4 linked regions of the Lonchura striata genome follow. The protein of the gene in region 1 interacts with the protein of each later gene in a pairwise test. Links are inferred from orthologs where the notes say so. Each region holds a gene or a part of one and is shown in the gene's direction. Other genes may lie near its edges. The genes, in order: SDCBP2, ZCCHC17, PTMS and LYAR.

Region 1 (7,388 bases):
GGAGGAGCAATTTCTGTCAGGGACTGAGGACAGCTCAGGGCCCCTGTATACCTTGGGACTGTGTGGTGAGGTGGGATGGAGGCAAGGGGGGAGTGGGCAGTAATGGGGAATATGAGAAAAACAGGGCAGATCTCTGTGGGTAAAAGTTGTTCTTGGGAATCTGGTGAGCTGGGGTTCTGCTCACTACAGTGCTACATGCAAAGTTCCCAGCCTGGCAGAGCAGGTTGATGTCATGGAGGTGTTGCAGTGCCAGTTCTTTGTGCCGTGGGTTCTGAGTGTTGTTGCTGCGCCAAGGGGGCTCGGTTGCCACACCCCCTCCTGACTCATGCTGTCCCAGCAAGGGGCTGATGGTGTGGGCAGGAGGCAGTGACTATGACCCAAGGGTTGGAGCACTTACGGTGTGGAGACAGCCTGAGAGCTGGAGTTGCTCAGCCTAGAGAAGAGAAGGCTCTGGGAAAACCTTGGAGCACCTTTCAGAGCATAAAGGGGCTCCTAAAGGAGCTCCAAGAAGTCCTGGAGATGGACTTCACACAAGGGCCTGAAGTGACAGGGCAAGGCAGAACAGCTTCACAGTGACAGAGGGCAAGGTTAGATTAGTATTAGGGAGAAATTCTTCCCTGTGAGACTGGACGGGCCCTGGCACAGGCTGTCCCATCCCTGGAAGTGTCCAAAGCCAGGTTGGATGGGGCTTGAAGCAGCTAGACTAGTGGACAGTGTGCCTACCTGTGCCAGGAGGCTGAAACAAGATGGGTCTTTAAGGTCCCTTCCAACCTAGCCCATTCTGGGATTCTGTGGGGCTCTGCTCTGGGGTGTGGGGTCCCCATGGTGTGGGCAGAGTGGGGCTGTGCTCCCCCTGCAATCAAGGCTTGACTGCTGCTCTGAGGACCTTGTGTGGTTTGTGTGGAGGCTATTGTGCCTGGGCAGCTTGTCTTTGTCCAGCTCACACTGCCTCTCCTCTGTCCACACAGGTTTGGCACATGGAGGAATCCAGAATCTCAGCTTCAAGAAGAGTGCACATGACTTTGTACGGAGCTTTTCCTGATAGTCCACTACACTCATTGTATAACCTTACACCTTGATTGAATGCCTTTGGTCACTAAGCTTTGCGTCTGACTCTTCCTCCTTGTATCGTGTTTTTATGTCTTTTTAAACTATACACCGTAAACCTCAACTCTTTTTGGGTCAAGTTCTTAATCTTATTTTTGTTCCAGGTGTAGACTACGTTTTCCCAGTAGCACGCAGATGGGCTGACCTTAGATAGGAGTCATTTGAAGAAAAGGAATCCTGTTAGTTACTAGTTTTGGTGCAGATGTATGGTGTTTCCAAACCAGAAATTGCTGCTGCTGCAAAAGCCATAGGAGAGTGAGGTTGTCGAGGCTGAAGGGATGCAGAGAGCAAGGTAGCACTAGGATTGTTTATAGGAATTTTGCCTGGAGTGGGACAGCGAGGGAGCCTGGCCTTTCCCTGCTCCCCAGGGAGCATCACTGCGGGTATTGTGGGTTTGCTCTGGGAAAGGAGGGCTGCTCTGCCCCTGCTTCACCCTGCCATCTCATGGTGGGCCTGCCTTCCCCTCCAGACCACTTTTGGATTTAGGGAGTTGGGTTTCCACCAGAGCTCCGCCACACCCTGAAAATCCCATAGCATGGAGCTTTCTTTAAAGAAAAAGGAAAACTGGACAAAGGGAAGGTGCTGTCTGCAGGGGAGGTGGTGGGGGCTCAACTCAACAAAAACTCTGTCCTCCTCCTCCCCCGTGGAAAGGAACCATCAGCTCCCTATTGTCCCTGCTCTGAGCACACCTGCCCATTCTCTCCTGCCACCTGATGCTGGTCATCGCTGCTTGCCTGGTGTCCCAGGACGCATAGCTGTCCCCTGTGCCCCTCCCTCTGCCCTGCCCAGTCCGTTGGTAACAGAAATTCCCGCCGGTCACTTCCTTCTCCGCCGCACAAAGGTATCCAGTTTATTATCGCAATAAAAACGCTTGATGCTGGCTTTTCTCAGCCCTGTGTCCTGGAGGTTCTTCCCTCGCCCGTCTGTCGCTCAGCACAGCAGGGGCTGGGCTGGGCTCAGGGGGTGCTGTGTGGGGTGCTGTGGGTGCTGCTCTGGGCTTGTGGGGTGCTTTGGGTGCAGTGCCAGGGTTGTTCTGCTGTGCCTTAGTGTGAGGCTCAGGTGCTCGGCCCTGGGAGCACATTAAGATGCCTGGGGCTCCTGTGCTCTGTGGACAGGTGATGGTGGCCTGCTGGTATTTGCATAATTCATTGCCTCACCATAACCTGTTAAGTGTTGCCCTCACAACCTCATGCCCTTGTGGCTGTGACTCAGCCTGGACTGGAAGCATGAAGGATACATGGATGCATGTTCCCATGGTCCTTGCAGCTTCAGGGAAGCCTTTCCTTGCACCTTTCTGGATTTATTTCAGTCCTTTTTGAAAGCTGGACATGGCATGTGGGGCACAGCACATCACCTGCTTTGGGCTTTGCTGCTGCAGCTGTGGGTGTTGTGTGTGTAGGATGTGCTCAGGCACCACCATGGGCCAGTGCCTGGCTCCTCTGCTGACAACCTTTGATCAGTGTGCCACAACTGATAACACAGCCATGATCAATACCAGCCTGTCCCAGCTGCCAAGCAAAGTTTGTGTGTAATGGGTCCTGGAGGGAGCAGTGCCCTGGGGCAGGAGCAGCTCAGCCATTGGTACTTGCACAGGGCCGTGCAGGAATTAGAACTGCCTTGAATTGTGGCTCAGCTAAGCAGGACAGGAGCTTGTGGGGCACCAGCACCCTGCTCTGTCCTTTGCTGTGGCTGTTTCTGGGTGGAAGCTTGAGGCCAGTTTGCATTTCTCTTCCTGCAAAGCTTTTTGCTTTAATTATTAACCAGTGCCAGACAGCGATGGCTTCTGGCTGGGGCTAAGCCAGGGCAGGGGGGAGGCTGAGGGACGCCCCCTGCCCTTGGGCCCTCAGCCCCTGCACAGCTCCTGAAGCATCCATGAGTGCAGGTGGGGTGGGAGTCCTTACAGCCGTGGTTTTGTGGGGATGAGGGTTTCAGGAAATGAACAGGCTCCAGGAAACAATCTCCTCTGTAGGACTCTCTCTGCCGTTGGCATTCAGGCTGTTCTTGTCCTGGGCTGGTCAAGGCAGCTGGGCACCATCCAGCTAAAAATAACAGCAGTAAATAAAACACTTCCTCCTGGCCTGGCACGCCGGAGCGGAGGCACAGGGAGCTGGGACAGGCCTGGCTGCGGCTCCGCACTGGGACTGGCCCCGTGCCGGGGAGATGTGGGCTGGTGCCACCAGGTCCAGGCCTGCCCAAGTGCCCTCAGCACCCCCCTGCCCAGCCCCTGGGGACACGGTGCTGACAGCAGAATGTCACCGCTGGCTGCTGCAGGGCTGGATCCCCAGGTGACACGGTGATGGCCCATGGCAGCAGGATGCCACGGCCACCCCATGCTGAGCTCGGTGCCGGCTCAGTTTCTCCACCTGCAGCATGGGACTCCCACGCCTGGCACGTGTCCCAGGTGACGGCTGGGAGGGTGTGGGACACGGGATCCCGGTCACGGCCGCGTCAGCCCCACGCGCCAGGGCAGCGAGGTGTCAGCAGGAGCCACCACCCACGCAGGGGATCACGGTGGGGAACCCCCTTCACCCCCCAGCAGGGCCTGTGGAGCCCAGGAAGGATAATGGGGAGGGGGAGCCCAGTCAGGGGCCAAGCCACCTGCTGGGGGTGGCAGGAGAGGTGATGCAATTGGGGGGGGCACCATGTAGGGGTACAGTCCCATCCCTGCTCCCACAGGATGCCCAAAGCTACAGAAAGCCATCCCAGTCCCCATTCCAGTCTCTGTCCCATCCCTGCCGTGCCAGGGCTCTGTGCATTGTTGCCTTCATCTTCCTCTTCCTCACCTGTGCCCTACCTGGCGGGGGTGCAATCAGCTGAGGCTGTCTGGCCCCACCCTGGGCTGGGCCTGGCTATAAAACCCAGGGGCCAGGCAGAGGGTGTCACAAGGATCTGGGAGCTGCTGGCAGGTGAGTCCAGGGGTGCCAGGGCTGGACTTGGGGGCTCTTGTCTGTTGGATGCTGCTGCTACCCGTGGGCTGCAGGTGGGATCCTGCCTGGTTCCCGCAGGGCTCAGAGCTGGGTCTGGATTTGGTCCCTACACAAGGAGTTTTGGATTATGCTTTTTGGGGCACAAGATGCCACAGAGTGGGTTTGGGGGGCACAGCCTTGGGCACAGCATGAGGTGCAGAGGGGGCTGCTGGTGTGTACAAGGGCTGTTCCCATGGGACATCTCCCTGCTGTGTCTGGGTAATGCTGGAACGGCCCCACTGGCCATGGGGAGCAGAGGGGTCTGATGAGGGGCAAGGGGCCATTCCCATGGGATATCCCACTCCCCTGTCTGGGTGGTGTTGGGAATGCTCTGTGGGGCAGGTGGATATGGGGAGCAGGAGCTGCCCGGCACACAGCCATCCATGTCCCAGCCACCAGGAAGTGGCGGTGGTGGTGACCCTGGTGACATAGCCTTGAGTCACACTGGAAACTCCAGGTGACAGCCCATCTCCGGTACACGGGCTGGGAGGGATGCTTGGAGAGAGGCAACTCAGTCCTTGAACCTCCCTGTCCCTGTCCCCAGACAGCAGCAACGATGGCAACACTCTACCCCTCCCTGGAGGACATGAAGGGCCACCAGGTCCTGCAGGTCAGTGCCAATTCAGCAGTGTGACAGGGGGTGAGCAGACCCCAATGGGTCCCTGTGGGGTCTCACCAGAGGGTCCCCAGGGTGGGGGGCACAGCACTGAGCACCCTGTCTCTTGGCAGGCGCAGGCAGCAGCCGGGGTGAGGACCCCTGCCACCACAGTGGTCACAGAGAAGCCAAAGCTCACCTCAGGCACTGGTAAGGAGGGACATGATCAGCTCACGCTGTGTAGGGGCTGTCTGGGTCGGCAATGATGCTCAATTTGGGGAAGGGGCGAGTGGCTCAGCTGAGACCCCCCCACAACTCAGTGCATGGGTTGGGGATGGGATTCTGGGGTCTCTTTTTACTGGGCCATGGTCCCAGGGGGCTCCTGGGATGGAGGGGGCAATGGCTGTGGGTTGTGGGCCCCGGGAGCTGAGACCACCCTTGGTACGTCCCTCAGAGCCTCCTGTGCTGTACCCCAACCTAGCCGAGCTGGAGAACTACATGGGGCTGGCGCTCTCCAGCGAGGAGATCCAGAAGAACCTGCGCACCGAGGACAGCACCGTAGGTGTCTGGGCTGGCAGCTCCCTGCCCCATGTGGCTCCCCGTGCCATAACGGGGATCCCTCTGGCTCCTCATCCTGCCTGAGAGAGGCATGCAGCACTCCCAAGGGCTGAGGTGCACCGGGCCCTGTGTCCCCCCTGTCCCCACTGACCCCCAGCTCCCCCGCAGGCACTGACCCCCGTCGGGCCCTCCCCAGGCCAGCTGGTCGCCCCCCTGAGCGGGAACAGCGCGGGGCTGCGGCGGGCAGAGATCAAGCCGGGGGTGCGGGAGATCCACCTCTGCAAGGACGAGCGGGGCAAGACGGGGCTGCAGCTGAAGAACGTGGACCAGGTGAGGGGCCGGGATGGCATGGGGCTGGCATGGCACGGGACCGTGTCATGGCATGATGTGACATGGCACAAGCATGACAGTAGAGCACAGCGTGCCATAGCAGCGTGTCATGGCACGGCAGCGTGTGGCATTAAATGTCACGGCATACAGCAGGGTGCAGATGGCATGGCATGGCATACCCTGGTGCACGGCATGGCCACTGATCCCTGTGCCACCATTCTGCTGTGTCCCCAGGGCATCTTCGTGCAGCTGGTGAAGGCCAACTCGCCAGCAGCGCTGGTGGGGCTGCGCTTCGGGGACCAGGTGCTGCAGATTGACGGCAAGAACTGCGCGGGCTGGAGCAGTGACAAGGCACAGCGCGCGCTGAAGAAGGCAAACCCCGAAAAAATCGTCATGGTGGTGCGGGACAGGTGAGCGGGTGGTGGCACCGTGCTGGTGGCAGTGCCGGTGGCAGCACTGAGGGTGCTCTCCCCACAGGCCTTTCCAGCGCACCGTGACCGTGCACAAGGACAGCACCGGCCACATTGGCATCGTGGTGAAGAAGGGGAAGATTGTGTCCCTGGCCAAGGACAGCTCGGCCGCCCGCAACGGGCTCCTCACCCACCACTGCATCTGCGAGGTGAACGGCCAGAACGTCATCGGCATGAAGGTAGGGCTGTGCCCTGGTGGTGCAGGACATGCCTGGGGAGTCCAGGATGCGGCCAGAGAATCCAGGAGGGAGGGGGATACTGAGCAAAGCTGGGCACCCCATGGAGTCCCTTCTTTCTCCTGCAGGATAAGCAGCTCACGGAGGTGCTGGCAGGGGCTGGGAATGTGGTGACACTGACCATCATCCCCACTGTGATCTACGAGCACATGGTCAAACGGTGAGAATGTGGGGCTGCAAGGACCCCCACACCCCAAGGGGACCCCTGAGTTCCCCCCACTGACCTCCCTTCTCTCTGATCAGGCTCTCATCAGGACTGGTGAAGTCGTCCATGGACCACTCCATCCCTGACCTGTGACACCATCGCTGCTGTTCTGGGAGCTGATGCTGGAAGCCCAGAGGGCCTGCTGAGAGGACCCCACAGCACCTCCAAAGGAGCTGTTTTAGCACAAAACCCCTTATCCCATCAGAGTCTGGTGGCTGCTGGGTGGTTCCTCCTCTCCTCAGCAAGGATGGGGCAGATGTCCTGTACCAGCATCCCACTGTCCCCGTGTCCCTGCTTAGGCCACCCCCCTCAGGGCGGATGCCAAGGGCTGGCTCCAGCCGAAGCAGACACAGACCCAGCGACATTTATTACATCCACCACAGAGAGCAAGTACAGGACAGGGGAAACAAGAAGAGGGGGGTTACAGCTTTTTCAGTTCTGTATTTAAAAAATATATTATATAGATTTGTCTTTCAAATATAGTTGTTACATTTATTACTTGGCAAAGCTTTGGATAGCCTAACAGACGTGTACACAGATCCACAAATACATTGCACAAGAGGCGAATATCCCAGCTCCGCTTACATCTGCCCCGGCTGCCTGGACACTGCTGCTCCCCACATCCATTCCCTGGCACCTGGTGCTGTGCTGGTGGCAGAGCTGCTGTCCCCACTGCCCCCCAGCACAGGCAGAGCCAGCAGAAGGGGGATGCAGGGAACTGTGGGGCACACAGGATGTCGCACGTGCCCCTCTGGGGACCACTGGACATCGGCGTGTGGAGCATCACCATGCCAGGGCAACTGGCTGGTGGCACCCACAGGTGGGGGAGTGGGCTTGGGTTGGGGTTGGGGGAAACACTGTTAGTTCAAGTCACGAAGAAACCACAGACATTCGTGGGGTGGGAGTGCGGCGCGCCCGGGG
Region 2 (7,823 bases), on another chromosome or scaffold:
ACAGTTCCAGGGGTTCTTCCCAACGAGGGGCAGTGGGAGCAGCTCTGGTGGCAGTGCCACACTGAGCTCTGGCTATGACAGGCTGGGGACAGCCCTGGTGGCAGTGCCACACACAGCACTGGCTGTGACAGGCTGGGGACAGCCCTGGTGGCAGTGCCACACACAGCACTGGCTGTGACAGGCTGGGGACAGCCCTGGTGGCAGTGCCACACACAGCACTGGCTGTGACAGGCTGGGGACAGCCCTGGTGGCAGTGCCACACACAGCACTGGCTGTGACAGGCTGGGGACAGCTCTGGTGGCAGTGCCACACTGAGCTCTGACTGTGACAGGCTGGGGACAGCTCTGGTGGCAGTGCCACACTGAGCTCTGGCTGTGACAGGCTGGGGACAGCTCTGGTGGCAGTGCCACACACAGCACTGGCTGTGACAGGCTGGGGACAGCCCTGGTGGCAGCACCACACTGAGCTCTGGCTGTGACAGGCTGGGGACAGCTCTGGCAGGTTGATGACAGCCCTGGTGGCAGTGCCACACAGCACTGGCTGTGACAGGCTGGGGACAGGCCAGAGCAGGGCTGAGGGCATGGGGACAGCCAGAGCCCCGCAGCCCCCAGGGCAATCAGCTGAGCTCACTGTTAAAAAAGAACTTTCCACAGCATCAGGTGCCAGGGGCAGCTGCAGACTGGGGCAGAGGGCACAGAGGGGACGTGTCACCACGTTCTCTTCAGCTCACCTCACAGCTGGCTCTGTCCCAGGCTGCCAGCACAGCCAGCATTCCACACTGGCTCCCGGGTGACAGCAGTGCTGGGACACCCGAGTGCCAGGCTGTCCCTGCCAGGCTGTCACAGCTCCATGCCACTTTATTGGCTCTGTACCACCAGCAGAGATGGACACAGCAGGTCCAGGGGGGTTGGGATGTAAAATTCAGCAGGTGGCACCCAAGGCTGTCCTTGACCAACACAGGGTGTGACAGGATGGAAAAGGTGGGCACAGGGGGAAAGGGACACAGGGTCCTACCTTGATGTCATTGTCGATGCCTCCAGAGATGATCTGGTCACTGGTGTCATTGAAGGTGACAGCCAGGACCTGGTAGGTGTTCTGGAATGTCTGGACAGCAGCTTTTTTCCTGATATCCCACAGCTGGAAAGAAAAGTGGCACTTATAAGAGGTGTGCACAACAAAATCACTGCAGAGATATTGGCAGGGACTCAGCCTGTTCTCCTGAAATCCATTTGTAGGTCTCATGAAAAACATCAGATCTGGAGATCTTTATAAAAAACACTGAATCTGCTGTGTCTGGAGCACAGGAATGAAGGCAAGGAAGAAGGGGCCAGCCCAGATTCCAGGAATAGTTTTCTCATGCTTTGCTAATCCATAAAGAAACTGTCATTTCTGTTTTTCTGTCCAGAAAGAACTCTTTGGACCTCCAAGGATGGGGACTCCAAACCTCCCTGGGCAGTTCCAAGGCCTGAGCCCTCTTTCCATGGGGAAATTCCTGCTGCTGCCACCCTGAGCCTGCCCTGGCCCAGCCTGAGGCCGTTCCCTCTCCTCCTGTCCCTGTTCCCTGGAGCGGAGCCTGACCCCCTGGCTGTCCCCTCCTGGCAGGAGCTGTGCAGAGCCACAGCAGCAGAAAAATCCCAGCTGAGCAGCTCAAGCTTCCCAAACCCCCTGAGAAACACAGAAAAAACAGAGCAGTGAAATTTGCTGTCACATTTTTGCCTCTGAACTCAGAGCGCTAACGAAACGAGTACCAAAAGGCTGAAATCAGCCCAGATAAAGGGGAAGATCCTAAAAGCTTCTCCACCTTTTTTCCCTAGGCTTTGCCCAGGGCACACACTGACCTTGACAGTGCCATCGTCGCTGCCCGTGCAGACGAGCTGGGGGCCCCTCCGGGCAGGGTAGCAGGAGTTGACAAAGGACGTGTGGCCCTTGAGCCTCTTGACCCTCTCGCCCGTCTCGCTGTCCCACACAGCCACGGTTTTGTCCGTGGATGCTGAGAAGAGCATGCTGCAGGAACAACCACTGTGAGGGCCCAGCTCCCTTCCCAGTTCCTTTCAGGAACAACCTCCCCTGTTGGTGTTTTGGAGGCGCCTGAAACACTGACTGACACTGGAACAGCTGCATGGATAAACTCCCCTTAATCCCTGCTGTGAATGGTTTTGCTGCCTCCTCAAGCAGCATCTAGGATGAGCACAGCTCAGCAAAGCTCAGCAGCAATGGTGGAACAGCCTTTTAAATTAACCAGTATCTCACTTGCTCTGTCTCCCTCCCCAGTGACTCCCGGGCACCCAACACAAACTTCCCTCTGTGCCCCAAAACTGCATCAATGGCACTGGGGGGGGTCACAGGTGCCCCCAGATCCTTTGCCCACACTACAAGGACTTGGTGTCCATGGACTGAGCACAGGTGACAACCCCAGAATCATTTAGGTTGGAAAAGAGCTCCAAGAACATAAAATCCAAGCTGTGCCTGGTCCCCACCTTGTCCCCAGTCCAGAGCTCTGACTGCCGCCTCAGGGATGGGCACTCCAAACCCCCTGGGCAGTTCCAAGGCCTGAGCCCCTTTCCATGGGGAAATTCCTGCTGCTGCCACCCTGAGCCTGCCCTGGCCCAGCCTGAGGCCGTTCCCTCTCCTCCTGTCCCTGTTCCTGGAGCAGAGCCCGACCCCCCGGCTGTCCCCTCCTGGCAGGAGCTGTGCAGAGCCACAAGGTCCCCTGAGCCTCCTCTTCTCCAGGCTGAGCCCCTTCCCAGCTCCCTCAGGGATTCTCCAGCCCCTTCCCAGCCCCCTCAGCCCCTCCTGGGGCTCCAGCCCCTTCTCAGCTCCCTCAGCCTCTCCTGGGGCTCCAGCCCTGTTCCCTGAGCTGCAGTGAGTCCCTGAGCAGCACAGAGCCCCTGCCCTCACCTGCCATCCGTGTTGTAGTGCAGCTCCATGACAGCCCCGCTGTGTCCCTTCAGGGTGGCAAAGTTGTCACAGTCCCCGTAGACGTTCCAGAGCACTGGGGGACAGCAAGGGACAGGTGAGCACAGGAAAGGCTCGGGAACAGCCCCTGCTGTGCATGGAGCTGATCTTTGGGGATTCAGCAAAGTGGGGATGGACCAGCCCCACTGCTGAGTCCCAGCTGGGACAACTCACAGCAGTGACAAAGCATCGTGTGAGCCCCAGGGCAGAGCAGCTTTAGGGAGCTTGGTTAAGGTGAGTTTATTATGAACAATTATAATTTTTGCCTCAGGAAGCCTAAGCATTAAAACTGCATTTCTGCAGACCTCTGGAAGCCGTGTGCCAGGGACACAGGGCGGTCACAGCTGGCACCCAGCAAGGCACTTTTCCAGCACCATCAGGATGGCACCTGCCAGAGCAGCTGGGAAAAGCTTCCTGCACCCCCATGGGGGAGCAATTCACACCCAGAACCCAGCCAGGTGAGGGCTGAGCTAAAACCCCCCAGCAACAGGGCCTGAGCCCGGGGGACAGCAGGGGACAGCAGTGCCACTCACAGATGAGCCTGTCGAAGCCAGCTGAGGCCAGGGTGTTGCCATTGGGATGGAACTTGCAGCAGTAAACCTCCCCCTCGTGTCCTGACAGCAGCATGATGGGGGCCTGCAGCGAGGAACAGCGCGGGGGGCCCTGGGGGACACCGAGACACCGTGAGGGGACAAGGGGCAAGGCCAGCCTGCCACCCCTGCCGAGCATCTTCACCTTCCCACAGCACATCCCACCAGAATTCCAGCATTACTGAGGCTGGAAAAGAGCTCCAAGGTCATTGAGGCAACCTGGTCCCCAGCTTATCCCCAGCCCAGAGCTCTGAGTGCCACATCCAGGACGTTCCTTGGACACCTCCAGGGATGGCACTCCAAACCTCCCTGGGCAGTTCCAAGGCCAAGGGTGGGCAGCAGCAGGAATTTCCCCATGGAAAGGGGGGGGTCACCCTTTCCATGGGGAAATTCCTGCTGCTGCCACCCTGAGCCTGCCCTGGCCCAGCCTGAGGCCGTTCCCTCTCCTCCTGTCCCTGTTCCTGGAGCAGAGCCCGACCCCCCGGCTGTCCCCTCCTGTCAGGAGCTGTGCAGAGCCACAAGGTCCCCCTGAGCCTCCTTTTCTCCAGGCTGAGCCCCTTCCCAGCTCCCTCAGGGATTCTCCAGCCCCTTCCCAGCCCCCTCAGCCTCTCCTGGGGCTCAGTTCCCTTCCCAGCTCCGTTCCGCGGACAGGCCCCAGCCGAGGGCCTAGAACCTAACACAGGTGCCTCAGCAGTGTCCAGCCCACCACGCTCGTGGCCCTTCCCTGCTCCTGGAACCACGCCTGGCCTCTCCTGTCCCCTCACCTCCCGTCCCACCCCGATCTCCTCCCACCCTCCCCTCACGTTCCCCCGTTACCGCCTGCAGCAGAGCTCCGGCCGCGGGCTGTCCCCCCGCGCCGCCCGTGCCCGGCGCCCCGGGCAGGTCATGGCGGGGCCGCTTGGCGGGCGCGGGGACGAGCGGGAGGTCGGGGCCGGGCGCGGGGGCGGCGGCGGGGCCGGTGGGGCCCGGGGGGGCGGCAGGACCGGGCCCGGGCGCGGGGCCCGGCGCCTTCCGCTTCTGCTGCTCGATCATGGCGGCCGCCGCGCCCCGCCCCCCGCGCCCCATTGGCTGTCGCTGCCGCGGCCGCCGCGCTGATTGGCGGAGCGCCGGGCAGGTCCCACCCCCCGACGCTGCGCCGAGGATGGAGCGGGGAGCGCGGCGCCTTCTGGCGCGCTTCGCTCTGATTGGAGGAAAGCGGTCGCTGGGTGGTATGGGTAACGCTGATTGGCTGCGGGACCATCCCACGGCAACATTGCGCGCTGTGATTGGCGAGGAGCGTGGCCCCTCAGCGTGAGGGGGTGATGGCGGCGCGCTGGTGTTGCTGCCGCGGGTGCTGACGAGCCCCCACCGCCCCGCGGGCTCCGGGAGGAGCCGTCCTGTCCCTCTGCGCCGGTCCAGGTCAGTCCTTCACCGCAGCACTGCGGGTCCAATCCCCGCGCCCCTCAAGGCGCTGAACCCCGGGTGCTCTCTGGGGCTTTTCGGGCGTTAATGAAATTTTTCTTTCCTCAGCATCCTGCAGAGGAGATGCGGTAGCGAGGGTGAATCCAGCTGGCTGTCACGGCGCCTCGGGAGGCGATGGAGCCGCTTCCCGAGCTCTACTCCATCTTCCAGGGCGAGGTGCGGCACGGCTGGCGCGGCCCGGGCCAAGCTCGGGGGGAATTCATTCCGTGGGTTCGGTCGGGATAGCGCGGGGGAGCTCTGGGGATGCACAGCTCTGTCCAGGTGCACAACCTGTGTCCGGGGGCTGTTCATGTGCAGCTGCGGGGGCAGCCGAGGAGAGGCAGTTCCGACCTCTTCTGTCACTGGGTTCCCCACCCTCAGAGCTCGGAATTCCAACAGGAGCAGCACCTGGAGCTGCTGGAGAGAGCCCAGAGGGATCCACGGAGCTGCTGCAGGGCTGGAGCCCCTCTGGAGCCAGGCTGGAGAGCTGGGGGTGCTCCCTGGAGAGGAGAAGCTCCAGGGAGAGCTCAGAGCCCCTGCAGGGCCTGGAGGGGCTCCAGGAGAGCTGGAGAGGGACTGGGGACAAGGATGGAGGGACAGGAGCCAGGGAATGGCTCCCACTGCCAGAGGGCAGGGCTGGGTGGGAGATTGGGAATTGGGAATTGTTCCCTGGCAGGGTGGGAGGGGCTGGGCTGGAATTCCCAGAGCAGCTGTGGCTGCCCCTGGATCCCTGGCAGTGCCCAAGGCCAGGCTGGACACTGGGAGCACCTGGGACAGTGGGAGGGGTCCCTGGGCTGGGATGAGATTCCCTCCCACCCAAACCACTCTGGGATTCAGATTCCTAAATCAAGGATGAGAACCAGGACCAAAAATCATTGCACCAGAGGGATAAAGGAAAGGAAATAATGATTTCCTGGATGGTTCCAGGTGCACCCAGTGCTGTTCCCCACTGGAAAATGCAGGGGGGGTTTGTAGCCTGGCAGGGCTTGTGGAAAGGTTTGGGCTCTTCCTGGTGCCACTGCCAGAGGGCAGGGCTGTGTGTGGCAGCAGCTCTGTGCCCACAGAGGGAAACACGGCATTCCCAGGCATTGTGCTGGGCAAGGCTGTGAGAAGAGCAGAGAAACAATTCTTATCTTCACTTGCTGCACCTGGTGTTGTGAACATGTAGAATGTGTTATGGGGATTTATTTACCAAGGGGTGGTTTCTTAATTAGCCAGTAGTGATAGTGGTTTGATTAGAGGAGCAATTAAGTCTAGCTGTATTGTAACTGTCTATAAAAGTGGGGGGGTTTCTTAAAAAAGATAGATATTGATCAACCTTCTTGAATCATGGAATCAATGCTAATTATCGCCCAGCCAGGGGCCTGTTACCATGACAGGGATGGATGGGATTTTGGGAATTGGGAATTGTTCCCTGGGAGGCTGGGCTGGAATTCCCAGAGCAGCTGTGGCTGCCCCTGGATCCCTGGCAGTGCCCAAGGCCAGGCTGGACACTGGGGCTGGAGCACCTGGGACAGTGGGGGTGGCACTGGGTGGGATTTAATGTCCCTCCTGCCCAGCCATGGCTGATTCTGTGCCCATCTCCACACGTGGAGCTGGGCACTCTCCTCTGTGTGGGAGGGGATTCCTGCAGCTCTGCTGTGATTTCTCCCCCTTTGGGAAGGGATTCCTGCAGCTCTGCTGTGATTTCTCCCCCTTTGGGAAGGGATTCCTGCAGCTCTGCTGTGATTTTTCCCTCTTTGGGAAGGGATTCCTGCAGCTCTGCTGTGATTTCTCCCCTCTTTGGGAATTGATTCCTGCAGCTCTGTTATGATTTCTCCCCTCTTTGGGAATTGATTCCTGCAGCTCTGCTGTGATTTCTCCCCCTTTGGGAAGGGATTCCTGCAGCTCTGTTATGATTTCTCCCCTCTTTGGGAATTGATTCCTGCAGCTCTGCTGTGATTTTTCCCTCTTTGGGAGGGGATTCCTGCAGCTCTGCTGTGATTTCTCCCCCTTTGGGAAGGGATTCCTGCAGCTCTGCTGTGATTTCTCCCCTCTTTGGGAAGGGATTCCTGCAGCTCTGCTGTGATTTCTCCCCCTTTGGGAAGGGATTCCTGCAGCTCTGCTGTGATTTCTCCCCCTTTGGGAAGGGATTCCTGCAGCTCTGCTCTGATTTTCTCCCCAGGTTGCTGCAGTGACGGATTTTGGGGCCTTTATCAGAATCCCTGGCTGCAGGAAACAAGGTTGGTGTCCCTGGAGCTGTTTTATGGAGCTGTGGCCAGGGCAAGCAGCCGCCTCACAATTAAAAACTTCCAGAAAAAAAATCAGAAAAGGAGTTTTTTCCTAAATGAGGAAGAAATTTGGGAAGCATTTAGAAGATGATGGACTGTAGAATGATTACCAAGAATGACTCAAAGGACTTTTTTGTAACTTAAGGATATTTTGTGGTGGGTTTTGGGGAAATTCTGGAACTTAAATAATAATAGTAATAGTAATAATAGTAATAATAAGTATAGTAACAATATGTATTGTATTTTACTATATATGTTATATAGAAGGTATATATAACATATATAACAGTAGATGGGTTATAATATATTTTATTATATATAAAATATAAAAGATACATATATAATATATATATTATAGGGTATATAATTGTATATACTATAGATAAAATATATAACCAAATATATAATATTATAATGTATATTATTGTATATATAATATGTAATATATATTTGATACATCTATTACTGTATATATATTATATATATAGGATATATTCCTATATTTATTAGAATATATAATTTATTAACATCTGCAGCTTTACTGGTGGTAGCTGCAGTATAAAACAAT
Region 3 (7,445 bases), on another chromosome or scaffold:
GCGCCCGAACGCCGCAGAGGAGCCCCGTGGACGTCTGGAAGACAAAGAAAACCTCGTTACCAGAAGTCAGAGCTACCCACAGCCATTTCCTCATTGGTTCCCTTCATCTGTGCCTCTTACGTAATCCTCACCCAACAACTGACTCTGACCTCAGATGAAGGGCACCCCGAGTGAAGGACAGCTCTGATTTGATCCTCAAATGGGAAAAATCATATTCGGGATGCTACAGCCAGCTTGTGGTGGCTGCAGCTTGCGTTGCGTGGCAGCGATTACTTTCAGAATATTTTGCTCGTGTTAAGAGTGTGTCTGTCACACTGTGAGTGAGAACCACGACCTCCCATCTGTGCTGCGTTAGCAAAGACAGGCTCACAAAAAAATCACGATTGAAAACATCCCTCCTCTTTCCAGTCTTCTGACAGGCTGTGTCACCCCTTGTCATTCCCTTCTACTCCTCTTGCTTCTTCTCCTTGTTTTACCTACCCTGCTTCCCAGCCCTCCTGCAGGGCTTATTTAAATATGCTGCCTCTCAGGAAGCCATTTCCCAATGCAAAGTTGGCCGGTGGTTGAATTCTTGGGTCTTTCCTCTTAACTTCACTATATGGCATAGCGGAAGAAGAACAAAGCGGATTATCTGCTGGGATTTTTAGTGGACACAGTACAGAAAGATGAACAGCGTGACTTAAATACATAAATGCATTCAAGCAGATTCCCTCTGCACACTGAGATTTTGCTACTTTTGCTGTACGTGAAAGGACAGATATTCTGCATTTATGTAAATCTAAGAAAATTTAATGCAAATACACATCCTTCTGCTCTTTTGTTATTCAGCAAACAGTTTGGAACCACTTAGGAGTTAGCTCAGTAAATATAATTCTTAAAATACCCAGTTTTTGTGTTTTGCTTTTGCTCAGAAAATGGCTCGCAGTTAGTTCAGCCTTCAAAATAAACACAAAAGTCACCATCCCCTCTGCCCCCATCAGAACATAGTGGCATGACTAGCAAGGTAATAGACCAAAATGCATAAATAATTGCTTCTAGGTGCATTCACCCCACATTTGCTGGGAGAAGAAAAATAGATACCACGCATGAAAGCCCTAACACATCTCAACCACGTGCTCACGTATGTTGGCAAATGCCTGCAAGCTCAAGGCACACCTCAGTAGAAAAGTACCATACTTTCTACACTCACAAAAGTAAAAGAATGTAACAGGGGGAAAATATCCCCTCTGTACACAACCAGGTATGTACTGCACCTAAACACATGCGCACACCTACATAAACACCAAGCACAAACAGGGTACAGTACCAAAATTGTGACACTGCACGGAGAAAATTACATTCCCATTGTTGTCTGGGCTGCAGGCAGACACGGAGAGTGTCTGTTCCACACAATGATCTGTCATGTAACTTCTGCACCTCCCTCATTTTGTCTAAGGACATAAGTCTCCAAAAAGGATGGAATATGTTCTGCTGAGTTGGCAAAGCAACTACAGACAAAGACTACGGAACGCACTGAGCAGAGACTGACATCTGCAGAGCTCACAATGAGTGTACTTGCATTTGCAGCAGAGGGGAAGGCACAGATGGGAGAGAGGAGCAGAGAAAAGCTGCAGATCAATCTGGCAGGCGAAATGCAGAGTGGCACAGATCAGGTGGAGGAGCAGAAGTCACAGGGAAGAGCTAGGTGAGACAGTCAGTGGATATCCTCAGGGCTTGAGGGAGGCAGCTGCACACTAGAAGCCCAGCAAATCTCACTACCAGGATCCAAAGGGCAAGAAGAGTCAGAATGCAGAAACAGGCAGATGACAAGGAATGAAGAAGAATTTAATGTTGGATTTAAGGGGAAAAGCATAGTTGATACAATAATGCAGGGCAAAATGGGACATGAAAAACAAAGGAGGGGATGTGAAATGAATTTTGCATGTAAGATACAGGATGTCACAAAGAGAAGCCGGGGAGAGGGCCATGGGGAGAGTGCTGCCAAGAACACAGGTAGGAGACAAATGCCAAGAAGCAGCAGATGAGGGAAAAATTGCAAAGGGGATGGGGTGGGGAGCATGGAAGTGACAATGTGAAGTTGCACACTGCAGGTGCTGGGGAGGAAAGGAGAGCTTGCTGCTGCCATGCCAGTTTGTAGTTGACCCATGCTGACCCAACAGCGCCATCCCACAGGTAGCTGGAAACAAGCTCCCCTTGCACAAACAGGTGTTTGTCAATTTGCATCTGTGGGTTCGCAGCCTGTGTGAACATGGAGCTTTGGGCACGGGAACATCCCTGAACGTAATCCTTTGCTTTCTCCCCTCTAGGATGTTGTGTCAAGGCCTGTTTGTGCATTAATGTGAAGATGTCTTTGCCAAGGGATATGTGTCAATGTAATTATGTGTTTTCAGTGGTTGAGTGTGTAAAGGAAGAGGATCCTGGAAAATAAATTCTGGGTTGGTGAGGAGAACAGCAGAGCAATGAGCCACGCACCTTCTGTCAAGCAGAAAGCAGAGAGGAACACCATCCGGCCCCTATATAGATTACTTTGGGTCCTGTTTTAGGTGTATATCTAGAAATTAAGATTTTCTTCTTGTGAAAGGGAAGGATGAAAGAGGAGTACTTGTACCAAACCAGGGCTGGAATGCTGATAGCAGCTAGACCTGAGAAATTGGCCAGATCGGTTTTGTGAAACAGTAGGGGAAAAAAATTAGTGCACGCATTTTCATAATTTGGTTTATTTTGGTACTAGTCTAGATGTGTGCATGTGAGTTACAGGACTGTTTTTTGGAGCAGGCACTCTGCACTGTGTATAGCTGTGAAGAACGTCAATTAGTCAGATCATGAGAGAAGCAGCTGTAGCTGTGGAGGAGACGAGACAACAAGCTGGGTAGCTTCTACCTCCCTGTCACACAGATTATAATTTATCCAATATCTTTCCTACTTTCCTTCAGGAGATACATACTCAGGGCCCTATGTTCCACAAATACGAATGGCTTTTGCTGTTAAATGCTCGAACTGAGACACATTCAATTAAACTCAAGAGCACCCGCTCTAAATCCTGACTTTGCAGGGAGGCTGAGTTTGTATCTGAAGGACAAGAAGGGCTTGCGTACCTCAATACATTTTCCAACCAGACGGATTAATAACCTTGCCTTGTACCTGTGAGAATGACTGCGTACACGTGTACCTCTGTATGCGCTCATGTGCACGCGTAGTTCTGTATGTACGTAGGCCCGCAAATGCATGCGGATTTATTTTCTTTTTTCTTTTGTACGAGCCTGTGACTAAGAGCGGGACAATATAAACCTTGTGGGAAAGGTGAAGGCAATTTAGTCATCCCAGTCTGCTCAACCTGGTAACCAAAGGACTGAAGAGCGGCTGCAGGAACATCTCTTTTATTAGCAACAAATCCCTGCAGTTGCAAGTCACCACCTGCGGTTCTGCAGGACCTTTGGCTACAGGGATACCCGGTGCTGAGCGATGATCCTTCCCAGCCCGGAAGGAGGCACTGGCAGGATGTCTGCCACAGTCAGGCCTGAGGCGGGAGGCAGGGAACGGTGTCGCACACCATGTGCTGCCCGGCCGGTGGCCGGGATGTGGGTCCCGGGCGGGTGGGCAGCAGGGATCGGTGTCGCACACCGTGTGCCGGGATGTGGGTCCCGGGCGGGTGGGCAGCAGGGATCGGTGTCGCACACCGTGTGCCGGGATGTGGGTCCCGGGCGGGTGGGCAGCAGGGATCGGTGTCGCACACCGTGTGCCGGGATGTGGGTCCCGGGCGGGTGGGCAGCAGGGATCGGTGTCGCACACCGTGTGCCGGGATGTGGGTCCCGGGCGGGTGGGAGCCGAGCCCGGCGGGACAACGCCCGCGCCCTCGCGCGCCGTCCCGCCGCCCCACGTGCCAGCGCCCCTCCCGCCTCGCACTGCACCAAAGGGCCCCGCGCCCCCGCCCCGCCGGCGCGCCGGCCGCCGCCAGCCAATGGGAAACCTGTTGCCAGGCAGAGAGCTCATTTGAATGGCCCAATCAGGCGCCCCAGCCCCAGCCCCTCCTTATATGGGGAGCGGGGTAGGCGAGCGCTAATCCGCTCCCGCGCCGCCTGCCCCGCCCACTCCCTCCGCCGCGCGCAGAGCGCGGGAAAAGCGGCCAGCGCCGGGCGGGCAGGCGGGGGGAGAAGAAGGGGAGGGGCGGGAGGAGCCCCGCCGCTGGGAGCGCTTCCAGCGGGAGGAAGGGCGGGCAGCTGGAGTGGAAAATTCCAGGCAGGAGGCCGCGTGTCGCCAGCGCTGCCCTCCCACACGGCCCCGCAGCGCCGCTTCTCGCCTCCCCCGGATTCCTCCTGGAGAGCCAGCCAGCTCGTACGGGCGGCTCCCCGGGCGTGCTGCGGCCGGAGGGCTCGGCTGCCCTCGCCGGACGCTTCCCGTCGGAGCCGCGGCACCTGGGCGCGGAGCGGGGCTTTCGGCTATCCTCGACGGGGCCGTGCGGCGTCTTGCGGGGAACCCGCGGTGCGCCCCCGCTGCCGGGCGGCCGCGGCTGAGCGCACATTGTTCTAGCAGCCCGTCCCTCTCCCCTCCCTCCTCCGCCTCCCGTCCCTCTCTCCTCCCTCCCCAGGTCCCTCCTTCCCTCGTCACCGGCGCTGTATAAATCCCCTGCCCCGGCGGATCCCCCCACCGCGGGAGACCCTGGTACTTTGGCCCCCGGGGCGGGATCCTGCCGCCGCCTGCGGACCGCTGGGACTTTGCGCTCCCGCCGCTGACCCCCTTCTCGCTCCCTCCCTCCCTCCCCCGCACGCTTCCCACCGGCCTCTCCCCTTCGCAACCCCGGGGGGCCAGGATGTCGGAAAAACGCGTTGAGGAGGCACCGGCGGAGCTGAGCGCTAAGGTGAGACACCTCCTACCCCCCACCACCACCATCACCCCGCTCCCCTCTTCCCATCTTCGGAACCGGCCGCGTTCCCGGGAACGGGGGGGGGGGGGCTCAGTGAGGTGCCCCGGCGGCGGGGGGCGCGCGCGCGCGCGCCGCCCGGCCAATGGGGGGGCGGGGGCGGGGCGGGGGGCGCGAGGGCCCTCGCGCCCCCCGCCCCGCCCCCGCCCCCCCATTGGCCGGGCGGCGCGAGCGGCGCGCGCTGGCTTCGGCTCCGCTCGGCCCCGCTTCGGCCCCGCTTCGGCCCCGCTTCGGCTCCGCTCGGCCCCGCTTCGGCTCCGCTCGGCCCCGCTCGGAGCCGGGCGGGGGGTGGTGGTGGTGGGGGGGAAAGTTGTGGGCACAAAGCGCGGGCCCTGGGATGGCGGGGGAAGGAGGAGGGAGGGGTGGAATGGAGAGGAGAGAGAGGTCCGGAAACGCCTCGATCCTACGGACGATGTCGCCCTCTTTTTTTTTTTTTTTTTTAATAAATCGTTCAAACTCTTCCGTGCCGCTTCTGTTTTCCACACGCGTGTGCGCGGGCTAAAAGTAGCTGTGACGCGCGTTCGCTGCTGTTTTCCTTTGTCGGGCGGGCGGATTTAACGCCTAATATGTCTCCTCGCCCGCTATTCCGCCTCTCCTCCGAGCCGTCTTTGTTTAGGCATCCCCATCTTTTATTGCCGCTGACCGCCGGAATGTTGTTGGTTTTCTCCCCCCCGCACCTCATTTCATATATAGGAAAGGAAAGAAAAGAAGGAAAAGGTCGAAGAGAAAGCCATCCACAAAGAAAAGAAGAAGGAGATAGTAGAGGTGAGGCTCTTCTGAGGGACAGATTTGGCGACGTCGGGGAGGTTTTCGTACTGTGGGTAGCAAATGTGAAGGGAATATGGGAGATTAAGAAAGGGAGCACCAGCCTAGAGGTAGAGTAAGCTCTTGGATAATTGTGGAGAATGAGCCTTGAAGGACTTAGTGTAGTCAGCACAGCCCATCAGGGAGGAAAAAAAGGTCAAACGGAGCCAGGAACAAGTGGGAGAATGTGGCACGGGAGATGTGGTCCTGCGCCCACTGGGGTACCCTGAGGTGCACAAGGAGCATGTGTTGGAGAAGCTGGGGGGAGGAACTGTGAGGAAACACACACAGATTGATGGGGATCTCGAAACAGATGTACCATGAGCCTCGGCTGTCATTAGCCTGTAATCAGAGATGCTTTGGTTGTTGGGAGGGATGGCAGCAGCTCCTCAGGATGTAAGCTCGTGGGAGACGAGCTGCGTGTTGCTGGGGATGGACTGGAAGGATTGGCTTCGTGAAGGAAGGCTGGTTGGGAGAAGTGTACATCCACAGTGGCAGGAATAATGATGTCGGAGTAACAATGCACACCTGGAGTGGCTGGAGCTCTGAAATTTGTTGTGCTTGTAGCAAAGAGCACGTGGAAATGTTATCCTGGCATCAGTTTCTGCTCTGACCGATTTGTTTTATCCAGGATGAGGAAAATGGAGCTGATGAGGATGATGAAGAGAATCCTGATGATGTAGATGAAGAAGAAGGTGGTGATGAGGATGAAGGTAGGGGAAATTAGATGAATAGGAGGCTGCAGAGGAATAGAGGATTGTGGAGGGAAATTCCCTCTGTGAGCCCTCTTGACTGTGAGATTATATTCCCTGAATGCTGCTTCAGTTTATCCTGTGATTTTCCTTTCTTGCATGTGCTTAGAAGCAGATGAGAATGGGCAGGAGCAGGATGGCCACGCAGAGAAACGATCTGCAGAGGAGGAGGAGGTGAGTAGTAGTGTGAGAATAATGGTGGGGTGAAGGAATGAGGCTACTTGCTGTTTGTTGATCCAATCATGTGGATGCTGCTGCTGAGAATCTCAAATTGGCCTCTGGTCTCATTGCTTCAGGAGCAGACGGGTAAACAAATCTGATGTGGCAAGGGGATAGTAAATCACTGTATGCTCCTTGTAGGATCTAGGGCCTTCCACCAGCAGTCGAGGTGCTGGAGGTTGTGCTTGGCAGTGACCTCTGAACTACCTGTGTCTTCTGGGCTTCAGGCCAGGAGATAGAGTTGTAAGGGTGCGGTGATTGAAGGGTCTGATCTTCCACATTAAGGGCAGGCCCTGAGGTCTGTGTGGAGTGGTGTGAGCCTCAGCTTCTTACACCTCCTGGAAGTAACAGCCATGGGTGTGGTGTCCCTCTGAATGGAACTGTCCACATCTTTACCACAACCAACAGAACAGCTGTGTCAGGCACTCCAGGGTGTTTTAGAGGGGAGTGGATTTAGGGTGGGCCTAACAGAGGTTTCCATATGGAGGAAAGAGCAGCAGTTACACGAGTTTTGTGGAGAATTATGTACCTCGGGGTGGTGACTGATGGTAACTCTTTCCTCCCCATGGCTGATGCAGGATGAAGTGGATCCAAAGAGACAGAAGACAGAAAACGGCTCTTCAGCTTGAATCCTCCCCTCCCATCTCCCCTGTTCCGCCCATCTCTCCTCCTCCATTCCAGCCTGTGCTTGCACTGCCCGTTAGCCTCTGGCTTCACACAATCTCAGATGAGGAAAGATTAGAAATGCTCTC
Region 4 (7,946 bases), on another chromosome or scaffold:
TCTAAATGCAGGACAAAACCAAAATTTTCATTGAAATTTCATTTTCATCAAAATCACATGATGTTCTTTGAGAAAGTACCCAGAACTCCAAATACATAGGAAATGTATTTGAGATGAAAAATACAATCTTTTCTACAACTTTCTTTTAAAACTTGGTATTACAATTCTTTATTTCTGTAGGATTATCCATAAAAAAAAAACCAAACCAACCACCAACAAAACAAACCACAGCCTTTTAACCAGCATCTCTAAATCAAGAGACACTGCAAGATATTCTCTATAACTGAAATATTTGTTCTGCAGACCAAGTAACTGATAACTGTACCTGTATGAGACCTTTTATGTAGCTCCAAATTGCTTGGATGTTTGAAAGCCTTCCCACATAATTCACAAGTATATTGTTTCTGTGACTGAAGAGTCTGTGATTGTCCTTCTTGTTCCAAAGGACCTTGAGATCTTTCCACTTCAACAGTTTGTTCAAAATTCTCTGAATTCACCAAATCTTCAGCTTCTTTTTCATCAGTAACTCTAACATCTGTTGTGTCCGTAGTACTTTCATTTACAGGTTCAATTACTTCTGTTATTCTACTGTCATCTCTTTGGGGCTCAGGGGGCTGCTCTGCTGATTTCTGAGATCTTAGAAAATTTAACTTTTTGAGGTGTACTGCCTTTTTCAGCCGCATCTGTCTGGTGGGCTGCATAACTGCGCTCTCTGCGTTTTGGTCTGGAGCAGCTTCACTTGCAGACTGAACCAGGAAGTTTGATGGTAAATGCTCAGAGGTTTCCAGGATACACTCAGAGTGATTGACAGTGCAAGAATTATTCTCCACTGTGTTTATTTCTGTGGATGTGCTGTAAGAAAAGGATGGTTCTGCTCCTCTCTCGTGATCAGAGCAAGCGTTTTGTTTATAGAACTGTTTGCTGTAAAAGTTGCGTAGTTTATAGTAGTAATTTGGTTGTTTAAATGGGAGCTCTGTGCAGTTGCCATCTAAGGAATCTTGTGGTGCTTTCTGTCCATCACCTGACGGGGTGTGCAGATTAACAGACTGAGAGTGCTGCTCAGCCAAGACTTTGTTAGTTTGTCTGTCAGCTGAGCACTCAGGCAGTAGGTTTGTCCCATAGCTGTCACTGGCACAGCTGGTATCCGTCCCCAAAGTGTTCTGCAGTGAAAATACACTGCTACACGGCATGCTGGCTGCCTGTTCCACAGCTGTGGAAGACTTTAAAAAGGTGTGGCAAATGTTCAGCACATTTTGCACTTGGAGGCACTGTGCAATGTCCAGCATAGCTTGTACATTGTCCTGACTGAGATCCAGGTGGGAGGTGTACATGAAGTCCAGGATCTGGCCTATGCCACCTACATTTTTGATGTCCAAGTGAAACACATCATTCTTCTGGCCTGAAGAATTCTGGAAAAGGGTCCTGATAAAATAAGGCAAATATTCAAATACAAACACAAATAATTCACAAACACTTCAATAAGAAAAACATACATACAACTCAAATAGGCTACTAGTATGAAACAAGTTTGTACTCTTCTAAAGATTGCTGTCTTTTTGATGATGAATTTCTCAAAACTGCTCAATTACTTGTTTTATATATTAGTCCTGCATTAGTGCACTTGAAATATAAATCAAAGTAAATTATCTTTTATCTAACTTTAATCCTGTATTTATGTTTTCAAATAACACCCTACGCTTGTGGTTTCTTATCCACTGTTCTTCACATATTAGATGCAGTGTTGTATTTATGGACAATTTGCAGAACCGATTGACTCAGAATGGTTTTTCTCCTTTCATCATGACAGATCAAACAGGACATAAATTTTCTAGCAAAAGGGAGAAGATAGACCTCAAAGTCAGCTAAACTCTTCTCCTCTGGCAACTGAACTGGTCCATTGAACTCCATCAGTAAGCCTATCAAAGTTCTTAGCATTAGTTATTTCTGCACAAACACACAAGAAAATGGCAATATTAAACAAGAAGATGGTATTATTTTCAATTTATTTTCTCATATAAAATATACTTTTTTTTCTGGTACTGGATGAGAACCAAGTAAAAGAATAATGAAGAGTACAGGTACATAATCCTAAAACAGCAGTGCAACCAATACCCACTGAACTTCACTGAATCCTTATAATGAATGAACTCACAAAAGTTCTTAGTATTTGATGTTAAATATTCTCAGCATCAGAGATGCGGTTCTTCACATGCACAAGCAGTCCTAGATTAAGTGGGTTCATACTCTCTCTCAGTCATAAACTTTATACCATTAAAATCCCAAACTTAATGATTCCTTTTTGTGGGCTAAATCTCAAATTTGGGTTTGTTTAAAGGAAGGCATGATATCAATGAGCTCTGAATCTTAAGAAAATGTGAGCCTATGCTGAAACTTTAGAAATGCAGGGAATACTGTGAAGCCAGTGCCCACATCCAAATTCCTTCATAAATCTATACCATCCTATCAAAATTAAAACTGGAACTATAATGAACAGATCTGGGCTGAGAGTCTAAATTAATTAGGCACTCATATCCTATTGAATTTTAATACGAGTTGAGCTGTTAGTTCTTTTTAACTACTTTAAAAATTTGGTCTTTGAACATAATTGCACTTCATCAGCGGTACAGCACTAGAGGAGAAAAAGGAACCTCTTATCTTTTTTCCCTGGTCATAACATAAAAATAGGTTTCTTGCAATTAAATTAGCAGTGAAGTTTTAGAGATGTTTCAAAAGACTAGGTCTAAAAACTGCCAGATCTAACAGCTTACTCATAACTAATATAAAATACTAAGCTGGGAGATCCAGCATCCTCCAAAACTTGGAGGCACAATTGAGGGCAGTACAGAAGAGTAAGAAAGCATGATGTGGTGTAATGGGCCACCTGTATACTTTAAAACACAGCTATTGTCTCTGAGAATCTGAATAAGCAGAGATTCACTAATAACCTATATGGTCACATTTTATTTAGCATATGATTGATGAAACAAGTCCTATTACTTGGAAATGGGTTTTATCAGTTATTCTTCTTATCTGGTTCTGTTCATATACTCTACTAAGTTCCTTGTAAGCAGTTATCTTTTTCTAGTGAAATACTGAAAACAGGTCCATGCCAGAATTATTACATGAAGGACTATAAGCAAGTAATTCAAGAAAATGTCAAAATCAAAGAGCATGCTGTGAATACTGGACACAGCTTTTTCTCTGGACAAGCAATCTCCCTTTTCTCCTTATACTCCCAACAGTTCCTCAGTCTGCAACCAACAGAAAAAAATACCCTTCTCAGAGAAACCTCAGCCAACAGCATTTAGTTAACTTTTTAAAGAGAAGAATTTTCTTTCACATACCTGAAATATTGACTGAAAGCAGCTAACACATTTTTGTGTGCTTTGAAGCAGACACCCTTCACCACCAGCATGCAGTCACAGAGAAGCCCCTGAATGCGCTGTTCATGTAGCTGCTGCAGAAGATGACAGCTGTGGCTAGCAACAGTGTCCATGCTAGAAAATCATTAAATTACCTATAATGAGATAAAATGCTAAGGTGAATATTAAATTGCAAAATTAATTTAAAACATTAAGAACATTTTTACAATTTGCTTTAGCTTTCAAAGGAAGCAGACTTCAGTTTACACCTCCAATTTGATCGCTAATAACATTTTTCTGGTTAAAGATGAGTCACAATATTGTTCACCAACAGATACACAGCAATACACATATGAAACAGTGATTTTTAAGAGAGATTTGTTTATAACAGAGCATCTGCAAAAATCTAATGGTGCTGCCAATAAACTGAACTCCATAACCACAAAAAAATGCACCTCAATTTAGACAACTTCCACAATAATTAAGAGTCTAATGCAAAAACACATTGCATGTACAAAATCAGTAGCATTTGTAGAGGAAAGCCTCAGTTTCTTCATCCTTTAAACTCAAAAGGGAAAACTAGTATTATTTCAGGCATTTGTTGCTGTTCTAGCTACATACATTTCTACAATGTATCTGATTAATTAGACACATTAACATGGTATTGTTCTTAATACAATGTAAAATCTAAATGAAAAAGTCCCCTCTTTAGAGGTTGAATAGACAAGTCACATTCCAACACAACACATTTACATTGAATTCTATACTTCCTTTTCCCCACCCCCTCCAACAACGATGCAACACTTCCCCTGTGCGCTTGTAAACATGACAGTTCCAACTATTAGGACAATCTGAATTTCTAGTCTTCTAACTAGGAGAAAAACCTTCCTATTCTAAGGAATGAAGCAGGAAAACCACCTTTTAAGCATGACCAGATAGTGACTGCCCCATTCTCAAATCTCATGAACAATAAGGGTTCCACATTAATTTATCCTGATGTGCCCTGTCTCTGGCTGTATTACACTGGGAGGGGGGGGTGGTAGGGGTTACTACATTGTGCTTTTTCTCTATTAATGCTTATCATACTTTGACCAGGATTTAAAATAAAGGAACCACGTTAACAGGCTTTTCCTGTGAACATTTCCCACCGCGGCATCCTGCAATCACTTTGCCAGTGAAGTGTCTCTCATCCAGGGGCCGGGCACCGCGGCAGCCGCTCCGGCACAGCCGCTGTTCGGAGCTAAGCTCGCCTCGGCCAGGCTGGAGGAGCGGCACGGGGGAGAGGACAGGGGAGGGTCTGGTCGCCGCGGGCCGCTCTGCCCGGGGACAGCGCGGCGAGCGGCCGGTGCGGGCTGGGGGACGCAGCCCCGGGCAGCGGGAAACGCGCCGCGGCCCCAGGGCAGCAACCGGCCCGGCCCTGCGCTTACCGGCTCCGGCCTCCTCCCAGCTCCATCCCCGCCAGCGGCCGCTTCCGCCGCCGCGCCCTCCCCTTCCCCTTCCCCTTCCCGTTCCCGTTCCCGTTCCCGTTCCCGTTCCCGTTCCGGTGCGCGGGGCGGGGGCAGCGGGGGCAGCGCAGGCGCGGGCGGCGGGGGCCGGAGCGGGCGGTGCGGCGCGTGCCGCGCGGGCGGCGGCCGCTGAGGTGCGGGGGAGCGAGAGCGGGGGCGGCTCGGCTCGGCTCGGCTCGGCTCGGCTCGGCTCGGCTCGGCTCGGCTCGGCACGGCAGCAGCCGGCTGCCGCACAGGAGCGCGGGTGGCGGCCACGCCGGGCTTCCCACGCCGTGCGGCCCGGCCACCTCTCAGCGCTGCCGCGCGGCGGGGCACGGCCGAGAGGGGTCTGCAGCTGCGGGGAGCGGGATGGAGCGGCGGGGTCCCGCACGGGAGGGGAGGGGACCGGGAACGGCCCTGCGCGACGTATCCGCGCTGGGGCCGTACAGGCGACACCGGTTCCGCCGTTGGGGTGGCGGGTGCAGGGGTTACAGGTGTTCGGGTGATGGGTTCGGGGGTTACCCGTTCCTGGCTCGGGTGATGGGTTCGGGGGTTACCCGTTCCTGGCTCGGGTGATGGGTTCGGGGGTTACCCGTTCCTGGCTCGGGTGATGGGTTCGGGGGTTACCCGTTCCTGGTTCGGGTGATGGGTTCGGGGTCGCTGGTTCCCTGTTGGGGTGGCGGGTGCAGGGATTGTGGTTCCCGGGGTGCTGATCTCCCCTGCGCTCAGGGAGGGACTCGGGTGGAACGAGCTCTGACACGTGCAGCAGCGGGCTGCGCACCCTGTCTGTCAGTGGGTGCACGGCTGTGTTTCGCTTCGGCCCTCCAAGTGTTTCTTTCAAGCTATAAATTAAGATCTTCTTCTTGTATTCCTAGAGTTGCGTTTTTGTGGGAAGGAAGAGGCTCCTGACCACTTGCCAACATGGTAGTTTTCACATGCAATGCGTGTGGAGAAGCTGTGAAGAAAGCACAGGTTGAAAAGCATGTGAACATCTGCAGAAAGTGTCAGTGCCTGTCTTGCATGGATTGTGGCAAGGATTTCTGGTATGTAAAGAATGGGAAATAGCTTTGCTCACTCTACAGACTTACTTCCTCACTCTTGTCACAAATATAATTGATGCAAGTCAGAAACTTTCACTGAAAGCTGTAAGCATGACAGAAATGCCTGTGGTCTTACAAGCATTTACTTTAAGCACATCACATTTTTATAATTTAAGAGTTGACAGTAATAGGGTTTAAATGATCTGTTAATTTAAATTATCTATTACTTAATCTTGTTGGTTGGCTAAGTGTTGCATAGTTTGAAGAGTGAAGCATTTCAATGACCTGTGGTTAAAAATCTCTTATATTCAGGGGTGATGACTATAAAGAACACGTGAAGTGTGTAAGTGAAGACCAGAAATATGGTGGGAAAGGCTTTGAAGCCAAAACGAACAAAGGAGATGCTAAACAGCAGGAGTGGATTCAGGTATGTTTTTTATTGTGTGCACCTACAGTAACTATTGTCTGTAATTATCAAAGACAGAAAAGAGCCTATACTAGCTCAAGCCAGAGATCTGTTTTTATCAATATCCCCGGCTGTCTTCTGACATTTCCTTGACAGGTGTGTGTTTATCTCTTAAGAAAAGTGTCTTGTTTTGAATATGTCTCTTACTAGTTTGACTTAGTGTAATGTTCCCATCTGTATACAAAGAGACATTGGTAGTTGTCCCTCCTTTTCATGCCATTTATGCTTTTGTAGACCTCTGTCAGGCATCCCTCCCCATCTCATATTCTTTGTTCAAGGCTCAAAAATCCTGCCCTACTCAGTTGTTCTGCATATGTAAATTATATCTTTGGTCTTCTAAAATCTTCCCACTGTACTGTATGTTTGTGAAGTGCTGTTCAAGATATAAGAGAACCATAGATTTACCACGTGTCACAATTATGTTTTCTGTGTCCTTTATTCCTTTCTAACTGTTTTTGTCAGTTAATCTACTTTTGTGTGGTTTTTTAATTCGGTTTTTATACACCGCTGCTGGTCATTGTGCTGGCATTTTCATGGAATTGGCTATTTTGACCCTGAGATACTGTATCTAAGCTCCAATGGTCAACTAAAGCCTGCCATTTTAGATCTGAAATTAAGATTGCTTTTCCTTTTCTTCTGGCTTTATGTGAAGTTGTGTTGACTGTATTTCACTTTTTTATTACCTAGTCACTCATTTTCTTAAGATCTTTCTGGAATCCTCATAGTCCTCATCCTGAATAGCTCAATATCATTGGGTTATTTTCATTTTCCATCCTCTTGTCAGATATTTTGTAAGTATGTAAATTAATATGTAAATTTGTCAGCTGTTTTGTAAATATGTTGAACAGGAGAAGCTCCAGCATGGATAGAAATATCTCGTACTCTTTCTGTCTTACACAAGAATCTACCCTCTTATGGCTTTCATTCAAGGGTTTTTGGAAGGACCTCAAACTCATTTAAAACTCCATTAGTAGTAGGTTAGATCACATTTATGCATGGAAATTGTTGCTTTCTATCATGTAGAACACATTCTAAGAAGGTTCTAAGCTGCATGCATACTTGAAGCATATGATGAATACCATTAAAGTCAGAGATGAGTGCTCTTGTTGAGATTGAACACTCAAACGTTTGAGGACATTTGTAAAGGCAGTATGACATGAGTGTTGTTGCTTGTGAGCATTGGTAGCCTGCCTCAATAGTAAATGATTCTTATGTAGAAGGATGAGAGATTATGACCAGACACCTTTTTCTGATAGTCTTAACATATTCACAAAGCCTTTCAGTCACCAGATCTTCAGAAGTACAGGAAAGCTCTGCAGTGTCCACTGGCTGCACTCTCTAAGTCCTGGGAAGCCCAGAGCTTTTTTCCCCCCACAAGCAGCAGTGCTGTTCAAGGGGCTGCCATGAGAGCCTGGTCTAATCTCTCTTCTCTCATGCTGACACCCATAGCACAGGAATATCCAGAGCTGTCATACAGGATAAATGCTTGTTGAAGCTGGCACTGCTGCCAGAAGAAATGCATGTCAGCTGTGGCATCAAAAGTAAGCCTGATTTTTCATAATTAATTCCAAAACCAAAGTTGCTTTTCTTAATA

The links.
Region 2: the proteins of SDCBP2 (region 1) and ZCCHC17 interact in binary tests that used the Homo sapiens proteins (3 or more experiments, as listed by UniProt). The two-hybrid records come from large-scale screens. The link is inferred for Lonchura striata from reciprocal best matches to the Homo sapiens genes SDCBP2 and ZCCHC17.
Region 3: the proteins of SDCBP2 (region 1) and PTMS interact in a two-hybrid assay, tested with the Homo sapiens proteins (2 studies listed by BioGRID and IntAct). The two-hybrid records come from large-scale screens. The link is inferred for Lonchura striata from reciprocal best matches to the Homo sapiens genes SDCBP2 and PTMS.
Region 4: the proteins of SDCBP2 (region 1) and LYAR interact in binary tests that used the Homo sapiens proteins (3 or more experiments, as listed by UniProt). The two-hybrid records come from large-scale screens. The link is inferred for Lonchura striata from reciprocal best matches to the Homo sapiens genes SDCBP2 and LYAR.

Annotation. Positions count from the first base shown.
Region 1 is NC_134619.1:7,351,862-7,359,249, forward strand, and holds SDCBP2 (syntenin-2), read left to right. Parts: upstream 1-4,377; 5' UTR 4,378-4,629; coding exon 4,630-4,683; intron 4,684-4,802; coding exon 4,803-4,927; intron 4,928-5,099; coding exon 5,100-5,226; intron 5,227-5,394; coding exon 5,395-5,556; intron 5,557-5,790; coding exon 5,791-5,966; intron 5,967-6,033; coding exon 6,034-6,205; intron 6,206-6,330; coding exon 6,331-6,422; intron 6,423-6,505; coding exon 6,506-6,560; 3' UTR 6,561-6,945; downstream 6,946-7,388.
Region 2 is NC_134628.1:6,740,169-6,747,991, reverse strand, and holds the start of ZCCHC17 (zinc finger CCHC domain-containing protein 17), read left to right. Parts: upstream 1-4,820; 5' UTR 4,821-4,943; intron 4,944-5,054; 5' UTR 5,055-5,120; coding exon 5,121-5,162; intron 5,163-7,149; coding exon 7,150-7,207; intron 7,208-7,823. Other genes in the region: SNRNP40 (U5 small nuclear ribonucleoprotein 40 kDa protein), read right to left, coding at 1,015-1,137, 1,839-2,004, 2,899-2,992, 3,489-3,618, 4,362-4,577.
Region 3 is NC_134604.1:29,639,265-29,646,709, forward strand, and holds PTMS (parathymosin), read left to right. Parts: upstream 1-4,441; 5' UTR 4,442-4,807; coding exon 4,808-4,855; intron 4,856-5,611; coding exon 5,612-5,683; intron 5,684-6,353; coding exon 6,354-6,435; intron 6,436-6,583; coding exon 6,584-6,648; intron 6,649-7,271; coding exon 7,272-7,322; 3' UTR 7,323-7,430; downstream 7,431-7,445.
Region 4 is NC_134606.1:13,227,552-13,235,497, forward strand, and holds the start of LYAR (cell growth-regulating nucleolar protein), read left to right. Parts: upstream 1-4,932; 5' UTR 4,933-5,001; intron 5,002-5,721; 5' UTR 5,722-5,767; coding exon 5,768-5,889; intron 5,890-6,198; coding exon 6,199-6,313; intron 6,314-7,946. Other genes in the region: ZBTB49 (zinc finger and BTB domain-containing protein 49), read right to left, coding at 326-1,422, 3,345-3,496. UniProt on the Homo sapiens protein: Plays a role in the maintenance of the appropriate processing of 47S/45S pre-rRNA to 32S/30S pre-rRNAs and their subsequent processing to produce 18S and 28S rRNAs. Also acts at the level of transcription regulation.